Linked DNA regions of Drosophila melanogaster. The protein of the gene in region 1 interacts with the protein of each later gene in a pairwise test. Each region holds a gene or a part of one and is shown in the gene's direction. Other genes may lie near its edges.

The links. The genes of interacting proteins can lie anywhere in the genome.
Region 2: the proteins of smg (region 1) and CG31802 interact in a two-hybrid assay, tested with the Drosophila melanogaster proteins (one large-scale study listed by BioGRID).

Annotation. Positions count from the first base shown.
Region 1 is NT_037436.4:8,991,059-8,998,926, reverse strand, and holds the start of smg (smaug), read left to right. Parts: upstream 1-1,832; 5' UTR 1,833-2,073; intron 2,074-2,355; exon of another isoform or gene 2,356-2,445; intron 2,446-2,677; exon of another isoform or gene 2,678-2,865; intron 2,866-3,009; exon of another isoform or gene 3,010-3,204; intron 3,205-3,361; 5' UTR 3,362-3,459; coding exon 3,460-5,828; intron 5,829-5,885; coding exon 5,886-6,846; 3' UTR 6,847-6,883; intron 6,884-7,389; coding exon of another isoform or gene 7,390-7,431; 3' UTR 7,432-7,868. Other genes in the region: CG5087 (uncharacterized protein), read right to left, coding at 1-264, 318-472. UniProt on the Drosophila melanogaster protein: Translation regulator that binds to the 3'-UTR of specific mRNAs such as nanos (nos) and prevents their translation. Prevents translation of unlocalized nanos in the bulk cytoplasm via the recruitment of cup.
Region 2 is NT_033779.5:18,207,864-18,210,936, reverse strand, and holds CG31802 (uncharacterized protein), read left to right. Parts: upstream 1-1,699; 5' UTR 1,700-1,788; coding exon 1,789-2,349; 3' UTR 2,350-2,522; downstream 2,523-3,073. Other genes in the region: CG42750 (uncharacterized protein), read left to right, coding at 77-380, 789-1,168.

The DNA of each region.
Region 1 (7,868 bases):
ATCTTGATGTGCGCGATCCAGGGCAGGCTGCGTTCCTTAAAAAGACAGAGGGCGGCATAGGATAGCTTGGTGTTCTCCGACTCCATTGCCTTGATGATGTAACGGCAGATGCGCTCCAGACGCTCCCGTGCACGCACATCGCTCTTGTCCAGCCTGATCTGGGTGAGGTAGCGACGAAGCACCGGATAGACGTTGCTTGCCACGAGTTCCAGTTCCGCATCCTTATCGTCATGATTCTCAGTGAACATGGCATCGAAATCGAGTCTGCAAAACGGGTTACTATTTAGGATGTTCCATAAAAGTAGATAGACACTTACATGATTCGTTTCTGGTACTTCCTACGCGCCGCATATCCCTTGAGCGTGGACTGCAGCAGGATGGCCGCCTGTTCGCGTCGCTTTTCCAGTGCCCGCTCCTCCCGCGCCGCCTTTGTCTGCTCCAGGAAGCTGGCCTTTTGGTTTTGGGCAAACATTTTGCTCTGCAGCAGGTTGAAAGAATTTTGTTGATGATGTATTGTTGTTGACCAGAGCGTTTGTTTTTGTCGGGATTGTGGCCGTTCCGGGATGTATTTATCGTTTCAATCACTTCCTCGAGCTGAACGCTATCCCAGAGCCTTGATTCAGAGCCTCGCTGGATATTTTCTGCATTGCATATCGAGCAAAATGCAAAAAGAAAATATCCTTATTTTGTTCCAATTGGTGGTACAGTGTCACCGTCTCCGCTTACTGTCAAATAACCACAGAAATAGGCCAAAGCGCGGAGATCATTTTTGTTGGCAATTTTCTAGCTAAAACCGTGGTTTGAGTCCGCGCTGCATGAGCACGGCATCGAACCTAGGGCAGCTTTGCTGCTCAACTGAGCGTCCATCACCAAGGGAAAGTAACCGATAACCGCTTGCAAGAAAGATCGACTGTATCGAGTACACATCGATTTTTGTTCCAGCACTAGCAACGCTGCGTTCGCGTGAATAAATAATTAATTAATTGCTGAAAAAATGGATTAGCTGGCGAAACATGCATCCGACCAAGTGCAACAGCAACCGTGCGCAGTACTCAGTAATCGGGCGTTTGTGAGCGTAAGCGCCATGAATTGTGTGTCTAAAAAAAAGTAATGGTTTAGCAAAAACAACAACGCTAAAGCCCAAAAGTGCTAATAAAAAGTACACACATACGCACTCACACAAACGCGCGCGCGAGCAAAGGTGAAAATTATAAATTAATAAATACGCGATCCGATAGCATATCAAATTAGCGAAATATGCTCGTTTCTCGTGCTGATCGAATCAAAACTGTGAATTGCAACAGAAAATAATTTCAAGGTTTGCAGCAGGCGAATAGAAGGCGAAAAGGTAATTGAAAAATAGAACGAATTTTGGCACAAGCGCACTGTAGCTATATATTTTTGTTGTCTGGCCGACCGTGGCTAGGTGGGTGGGGCGTGATTTTGGGGGCCAATCTTGTGTGTTCTGTGTACTGTGCGCTGCTGCTCTGTGTGGTGAAAACAACAAAACCCGCTTACCCCGCAGGAGCCCCACCCCTCTCCCTTAAATGTAATGCATGTAATTTACCGCAATTTTGCCCGTGCATTGCTCAGTGTGTCACTCTCACTCGCACACATACCACTGCCGACGAGCGCAGCAAGGTCTCCGTCTGTGTGTGCGTGTAAGTGAGTGCTCTCCCCATTTTCTTGACAGCAGTAGCAGCATCAGCATCAGCATCAATCCTGTCAGAAAAAAAAGGCGCGCGCTCCTTTTCGCCCGTTTCGCTCTGCCTGCCGCTGCGCTGCTTCTGCAGCTCCACCATTTTCTTTCTAAATCGCTGACGCCAGCGCCAAATCATTCGCCATCAGCCGCTCCTCCTCCGCGGTGCTCCCCACTGCAGCTTCTCGTCTTCAGCTGAGCTTCGCTGTGCTAAACCAATTCTTCTGTTCTGTGTGGTTGGATCTGCAGTTTTGCAGATATAATCAAATTTATTCGCAACGTACATATGTAAATAAAAGCGTTCGGAATATGCCAAGCGCCTGTGATCGCGACTGCTGAAAGGGCAGCCAAAATACGATAATATATAAGAGCGTGTGAGTTTGCAGTATCCTTTACGTTTGCGTGTGTGTGCGTGCTTGCAATCTTTGAACTTTGAACTTTTGTTGAACTTCGGTAATTTTTTTATTTGCAAGCCGGTTAGAAAACAACAGCAATTGCAGTGACGCATAACCTCAAAGATCGACATGCACAAGTACCGTTAGATCGAGTCGCCCCAAACGACTCTTTTGCGCTCCCAGTCTCGCAGGGAAATGTGAAATTTCATATAAAACGTTACGTTAAATAGCAAAGAAGTTAACATCGGTAAATTCCATAGCAGTGAATGTGCTTTAAATGCAGTAATTGGGGCCCGTTATGTTTTACTGCTTGCTCACACACACTAACTTAAGTTGGGGTACCAATACACAGTCAGTTACACTGTCTCTGGCTTAGATTACAGTCAACACTCGATGTCGTAAACCAGGATAAAAAAATAAAATGCAGCAATTTCTCTTAAAACTACATTTTACATTAAAAAATAGATACTTTAATTTTCAAATTTTTTGACTCCCATGCGTTGATTTGTTCAATGTTTTGTGTGCTTACTGTGAAAACACGGCAACAAAAATCGAAGAAAGTCGTCAGAGTAAAAGCAATAATAACAACAACAGCAACGGCGGCAGAAGAAACAAGATTCGAAATGGGCACAAACGAAACTAAATGAAAAGCGCGAAACTGTGCAAAAAAAATACAACCTAACCAAACTTCTCGCCCCCGCTCTACTTTCCCGCCCGGAAATCAAAATCCGAACGCCGCCAAGTCGAAATCAGCGATTTCGTATTTGAAATGTTTGTTATTTTATTGATTTATCGTCCCTCGTCATTTGCGCCATCAAAGCGAATCGAAGGTGTTATATATTTGTTGCTTGTTTATTTGCTTTCCTGATAAGCCAGCCGACCAAGCAAATGCTAATTTCCATTCGTCAATTACAGATAATTGTTGTTGCTATTGCGCTTGTAAATTTAACAAATTAGCGAAAACTGATTTGATTAAATTCGAACGTTATTTGCGGCTTAAAGTTTATTTTATTATCGCTGCACGGCACTCTAATCCCGAGTGGAGCAATGGCGACAAATCCATGGAATAAGGGAGAAGCTATTGATTGGATCACGTGGTTCGGAATTGTGGTATTTTTCTATGGAAGTGATTAGATTGGGCTAAACTAGGCTTTAAGCGAATGATACAGCTCATTGAGCATAAAAAAAATTGTATTACCACAGTCACAAAGTTTAGCTTTACATAATAGTTCAATTATTAATCCTACCCCGTTATCTTTACTTGCAGCAACGCAACCAAATAACCACAAAGAAGCCGTAACAAATACAATACCATAAACTATAGTAAGAACTATCCCCAAAAAACAAGAAGCAACTAACAACGAGATGAAGTACGCAACTGGAACTGACAACGCGATGACCTCCGGCATCAGCGGCCAAACCAATAACTCTAACAGTGCATCCAACGAGATGCAGCCAACCACATCAACGCCTACTGCAGCCCACAAGGAGGCCACATCAACGGCCACGACGACGGCGACATACGCCAATGGCAATCCCAATTCTAACGCCAATCCCAGCCAGAGCCAGCCGTCCAATGCGCTGTTTTGCGAGCAGGTGACCACAGTGACAAATCTCTTCGAGAAGTGGAACGACTGCGAGCGAACCGTCGTGATGTACGCGCTGCTCAAGCGGCTGCGCTACCCGAGCCTCAAGTTTCTACAGTATTCTATCGACAGCAACCTGACCCAGAACCTGGGCACCTCCCAGACCAATCTGAGCAGCGTGGTTATTGACATCAATGCCAACAATCCGGTGTACCTGCAGAATCTACTCAACGCCTACAAGACGTTCCAGCCATGTGACCTGCTCGACGCCATGTCCTCCTCGTCGTCCGACAAGGACTCGATGCCATGCTACGGCAGTGACTTCCAGATCACCACATCGGCGCAGTGTGACGAGCGGAAGCTGTATGCCCGCAAGGAGGACATTCTGCATGAAGTACTGAACATGCTGCCTCTGCTGAAGCCGGGCAATGAGGAGGCCAAGCTTATCTACCTGACCCTTATACCAGTTGCCGTCAAGGACACCATGCAGCAAATTGTGCCCACGGAGTTGGTGCAGCAGATCTTCTCGTACCTACTCATCCATCCAGCTATCACCAGCGAGGACAGACGTTCGCTCAACATTTGGCTGCGTCACTTGGAGGATCATATCCAAGCGGCTGCGGCGGGCCTGACAAATCGCAGTTACTTCCTGCAGCCCTCGCCGCAACTGGTCGCTGGTGGTAGCTCAACAGGCAGTGGTAGCTGTTCCTCTTCGGCGACCAGCTCTTCGACAGCATCCTGTTCGTCGGTGGCCTCATCCTCGTTGTGCCCCGCAAGCGGCAGCCGTTCCTCACGCACCAACGACTGGCAAACGATCGCCCCGCCCAGCAAGCAATTGCAAAACAAATTGGCCGGTGATTGGCGTGGCAATGGAGGCGGCAGCTCCAGCGGGTCGATCAATCCACTCTGTGATAATCTTAATGGTATTACCCTGAACGAATTAGCTTCTAGTCAGAACAGTCTCGGCCTGTCGCTGGAGGGCAGCTCTTCCCTGGTCAACGGTGTGGTCGCTGGTGCAGGCTCTATGTTGGGAATCGCTGGTGGCGACGATCATGACACGTCATTTAGCAAGAATGGCACGGAGATTCTCGATTTTGACCCGGTGACGGCGGACATGGGTGAGGCCTGTAGTCTGGCCAGCAGTAGCCTTTGTGGACGTAACGGTGGAAATCCTGTTGAGGATCGATCGCAACCTCCGCCGAATCTTCAGCAGCAATTGCTTCAGCCTCCTCCCTATGCCTCGATCCTTATGGGAAACGTGGGCGATCAGTTTGGAGAGATCAACCGGTGGAGCCTGGACAGCAAGATTGCAGCCCTGAAGACGCGGCGCTCTAACAGCCTCACCACGCAAACGATCTCTAGCTGTTCCAGCTCGTCTAACTCATCGGTGATCACGGTCAATGACAACTGCTCCAATTCAACGGAGAATCTGGCACAGTTTGCCAACAAGCCCCGTAGTTTTTCCTTATCGATTGAGCATCAGCGCGGCGCCTTGATGAACAGCGGTTCCGATACTCGTCTGGATGAATTCAAGCCCAATTATATTAAGTTCCACACGCGCAACGTGGGCATGTCGGGAATCGGACTCTGGCTAAAATCCTTGCGTCTGCACAAGTACATCGAGCTGTTCAAGAACATGACGTACGAGGAAATGCTCTTGATCACCGAGGACTTTCTGCAGAGTGTTGGCGTCACCAAGGGCGCCTCCCACAAGCTTGCCCTTTGCATTGATAAGCTGAAGGAACGGGCCAATATTCTTAACCGGGTAGAACAAGAACTGCTATCGGGTCAAATGGAGCTGAGCACGGCGGTTGAGGAGCTAACAAATATTGTGCTGACACCAATGAAGCCACTGGAGTCTCCAGGACCACCGGAGGAAAACATTGGTCTGCGTTTTCTTAAGGTCATTGACATTGTGACCAATACGTTGCAGCAGGATCCGTATGCTGTCCAAGACGACGAGACTTTGGGTGTGCTTATGTGGATTCTAGACCGCTCTATCCACAACGAGGCATTTATGAATCACGCCAGTCAACTCAAGGACCTGAAGTTTAAGTTGTCCAAAATGAAGATCTCCATGGTTCCCAAAATGCATCACGTCAAGCCAGCCGGCGTCGGGCCAAACAATGGGAACATTAACAAGCCAAGGTAAGGTTTTCAATAAGATAAAAAGTAATGCATTTTAAAAATGAGCTGTTATTTTAGATGGAATGGTAAGACTCGCAAATGCGATACTAAAAATGGCAGCAACGATAGGATTAACAACCGCAAAAACTCCAACGACATGCTAAACTTTTCGCTAAATTGCCTGCCACACCCGCTGCCCCATCATTCGCAGCAGGCTCCGCCGCCTCTGCCACAGTTTGACTACAACGGCTATGGCGGCGGTCCATCCCATCAGCCGCAGTACAAGAGCTCCTCGTACCCAAGCTTCATGGGTAATCCTCAGCAGCAGCCACCACCGCCGCCGTCTAGTAAGTCGCATCATCATCCCCAGCAGATGCAACAGATGTTGCAGCAACACAACCACTTTCCAGCGCTGCCTCAGCAGACGCCACCACAATCGCATCGCCGGTCGCTGAATAATCTTATTCTGGTGGCCGGAGGTCCGCAGCAACCGCAGCAATTGATCTTTAAGCCCGGTCAGGGAGTGCTCACCAACAACGGATCTAACGACAACCTGGTATTGGAACGCAATCAGCAGTCGCAGCAGCAGCAGCAGCAGAGAAAACTTAGCGGAGGAGTGTCCAGTGCGGAGCAACAACCAAAGAAGACCATGGCCGCTGTTGTGATGGTTAGTAATCCAAACCAGAATCAGGACCAGCACGATCAGCCCCAGATCCTGATCAACAACAATAATAACAACAGCATGCTGAACAACAATTTGATTAACCAGCAACAGTTGCAACTTTTGGCAGCAGCTGCTGCCGCCGTGGGCAGTGGCAGCTGTCTGTGCTCCAATGGTGGTGGTGGTGCCTGTGTCCACAATATCTGTCACCAAAGCAGCAAGAACAACAATCATGGCGTAGACCATTGCCTGTCCCAGTCACCGTTGGGCAGCCTGGGCATGTCGCCCCACGTCACCGAGTACAAGATGAACGACTTTAAGAGCCTAGAACAGCTGGAGACGTTGTGTCGCCAAATGACTGAACAGGCAATGAACTGAGCAAGATTCAGGGCTATCTGGGTTTTGAAATCATCATGTAATGGCGTTAGATTTGAGGCTGCCAGCTGTTTTTGTGTTCATTTAGCTTTGAGCCGTGTTTGATGTTTGATTTCATAACGAACATAAATGTTTTTATATTTAGATATTTAAGATTCGTGTCTATTTTTGTGTCGCGTCAAGTTGTCCACCCTGCGTCTCCTTTCACATCCCGTTCTGTAATCGTTTTTAGTTAGTAAGACGATAGTTTGTTTTAATGTTAAGTTTATTAACTGTATGCCAAGGCGCCCCCAAAGATATGATCAATTGACTCGGGCTCGCAGGACCAACGGCTGGCCGATGAACTTGTGGAGCCCATGCTGCACTCCCCGACGGTAATCCCATGTCGGTTGTCAGCGGGGGCGTGGCATCTTACTGTCAATGTTATTAATGTATAGGTTTCGTAAATGTTGTCGCCATTTATGTAGTTAAACTAACAAGCCAAGCCCCACAACACACACACACACAGATCGCAACAACAGAATACAGTAACTTCTCTCTACCTAGGAAAATTTGGCCAAATTTGATCAACATTTTACGCTATTCTAAACCCCAATCACAACATCAACTATTTCATTCACTATCAACAACGTCGCCAAATGAAAGAAATACCCCGATCTGAACGACGACGAAAAATGGTTTATCTAGTAAAAAATTATAAAATGAACTCTGCATCGTGACCATGAGACTGACTAAGATTACTTTTCGCAACTATAAAAACTAGAAGGAAGAAAGCTGGATGGAGAGGGAATTGAAAAGTGAGAATTGAGAAACGAGAGCTGATAATTGTTTGCGCGAATCAAAACTAGGCTTGCTGAATGAAGTAGTAGTCACATAATGAATATGTTTATATATACACGTACACATAATTTATTTTAAATTAAAAGGAACATATTTGCTGAACCGTAACTGCACCAGAGGAAATCGCAACGGCGGAAACTACCACTAGACTAAACTTTAACAGAAAAGAGTTTCAATGTTTCACT
Region 2 (3,073 bases), on another chromosome or scaffold:
TATTTCATGAGCGCAGGAGTGATGACAATAAGCCGGCTCCGGGAATAAAAAAGAAGCGCAGAGTGAAATCAGGACGATGACGGAGCTAAGACGAACTAATGGCCTGCACAAGCAGCACTCCCTGAGAGATCGACAGGTGCATCCGATGCTGCACGCCCTGGCGGATCACGGCTGCAACCTCAGCAGCGGTGGCAACAGTGCGGCCAGCACCACCAGCAGTAGTACGGCCACGGCCACCACAGCACTTGGTGGTGCCGGCGGTTTGGGCGGTCTGGGTGGCCTGAACGGTGGTGTCGGCATAACAAGTCAGCGGAGCGTTGAGTTCGATGAGCACGACATCTTCTACGTCTCACCATCCAAGCGAAAAGGAGCCACTTCAGGTGAGTAGCACCCTTCTGAGGGGTAAATAAACGCCAGGCCCATCAGTCAATCATATAAAAGTTTTCCCAGCTTGCTCATTAAGCAAATAAGTGTCAGAACTTAACAACTCTAATTAAGATATTACTACCAGCGCATTCAGTACTTATACTTGCATGTACAATACGCTATAAATAATAATAAATTATTTTTATGCGGCACTTCAGACAAAATTTAAATAGCTTAATAACATATTATACAAGATTCTGTTAGAAAAGAAATTTAATTGTATATTTCTTCTGTAACTCGTAGAGTAAACAATTAGCGCCTCTGCTGCTAAGAGTAGTTGAGCGCACATTACTAGAATGTGGTAGACGGACAGGACTAGAACTTTAAATGGAAGCTAAACAACTTTTTTTTCTATCTTCCAGTAGGTTCCTCTGGCAATGTGGTAACCTTCTCGAATTTTGTAAGTGAACAACGCCTGACGCCCTCGTCGTCGAACCGCGGATCCCTGAAGCGGAGCAAGGGCCGCTCCAATCAGTCCCTGTGCAGCTGCGATGCCGGCGACGAGGCCCAACTGGATTTGCAACCGAATGCGGCAAGGCCGCTGTACGAGTACAGTCTGGAACGAAAGCGTAAGACACACACCTACTCCTGCGAGCAGAATGCGCAGATACTTATGAGACTGGAGCGCGAGCGTAATCGTAAATTATCGCTGACTGGGATGGAAACGGGATTGGGAATCGGACTGGGAGTGGGATTGGGAATGGGATCTGGAGGAGGAACAGGAGGAGCCGGAGACCCCCAGGTGAGTGAAACCCCGCTACACTTTGTGTAATTGTAATTGTAGTCATGAGCAGCCAACGGCACGTGCCTCCACCAGAAATACAGACAGAGTTTTGCAACAGGCAAATGCGCTAACCAAACAGAGCGTGGCACGTAGGAGGTGGATGTTGTAGTCTGACGACCGAGTGACTGACACCTGCCACACCCACTGACTCTTGGGGCTCGGGCTCAGGCCACCAAGCTGTCTTCGAATCGCGAGGGGAATGGAGGAGACTTCAAGTTCGCCAAGTATTAGGGCACACATGAATTTTGATTGTTATGGCAAATGCTGTGAGCCAGCACTTCGGGTCGATAAATTTCAGAGATAATCCAATACAATACCTTGATATGTTTTTTTAGAATTAAATATACTCCCATTTGACCATTTAAGTGCTTTTTCGGCAGCTTTGTGACTTTAGAATGTAAATTCCTTCAAAGTCAAGCCCAAAACTATCGTAACCGAGTAGGTCAAGTCCCCAACTGTCGGCCAGTTCGAACAGCCCGCCCGATTTCTACACAGTATACGTTCACATTCCAAGAGAGCAGATCTCAAACAATCGATATTCCTACCGACTCCCACATCAAAAAGCCGATAAGATCATCATGTCCGGCAAACGACTTGGTAGTATGGTGTCCTCCGCCAGTGTAATGCATTCGAGTGCATCGATCTCAAGCAGGGCTAAAAAATCGAAAAAGCCCAAACTGCCGACCTTTGACCTGTCGCTAAGCCAGAAGGTGGACATTAAGAAAGCCTTCGATTTGTTCGACACCCAGTGCACGGGCTTTATCGAAACCAAGGAGCTTCGCGTGGCCATTCGTGCCCTGGGATTCGAGCCGAAGAAAGAGGATATAAAGCGTATGATGGACGAAATCGATAAGGACAAGACGGGAAGGATTGCCTTTAACGATTTTCTATATCTGATGCGCCTGAAGATGGCGGAAAAGGACTCTAATCAGGATATGATGAAGGCCTTTTCCTTCTTCGATGACGATCGCACCGGCGGCATATCCTTCCTCAACTTGAAACGCGTGGCCAAGGAGCTGGGCGAACAGCTCACCGACGAGGAACTGCAGGAGATGATCGACGAAGCCAACGTTTCCGGTGATGGTGAGGTTAGCAAGGAGGAGTTTCTCAACCTTATCAAGAAAACCAATCTCATCTAGTTGCATTACGTTTAAATTTATTCCGCAATTCATTTGTGTAAACGGGAAACGACGTTGTATATAACCCATATAGATTTACTCATTTTTCAGACAGACACATCAATCTGACTCGAAACCCATTACAGTGAAGAAGTTTGGATATGCTTCGGTTCAATAAAGCTTCGCATTGAATTATTTTTGATATTTTTGATATTCAATCTTCTTGAACCCATATTTTTGGGAATCTAAATGGGTTCTATGTTTTTAGTTAAATATTGCATAACAATAAAAACCAGAGTATAGTAATGAGCACAAATTACGGATAGTTAATTTTCGGTTTATCATTACGAATTCTTTTAAAGTTATGTATTTCGTACTCTATGAAATTTTTGAAATAAAACAATTTCAGATCGCTGGGAATCTCATAGTCCTTGTTTTTGATACTTGGGCGAGTTTGCTGTCACAGGCCTCTGTCATGCATAACAAATCTCTTTGACACATTTGATGTATGCTTTTCCATGGGCCTGCTCCACTTTCGGTTTTCAGTTTTCAGTTGAGTTCGTTGCAGCAAATTGTGGCTGCAATTTGGTGGCATGCGTGGGCGCTTTTCCAACTGCCGGAAGAGCTTTTCCATTTCCCATCTTTGCCTGTCCCCGTTTCTGTGCCTTATTCACTCTTAACTCTGTGTCTTCGGTTCGTTGTTCAAACGGCAAACATAATTTAGTAGCATCGTTTTTAGGGTTTT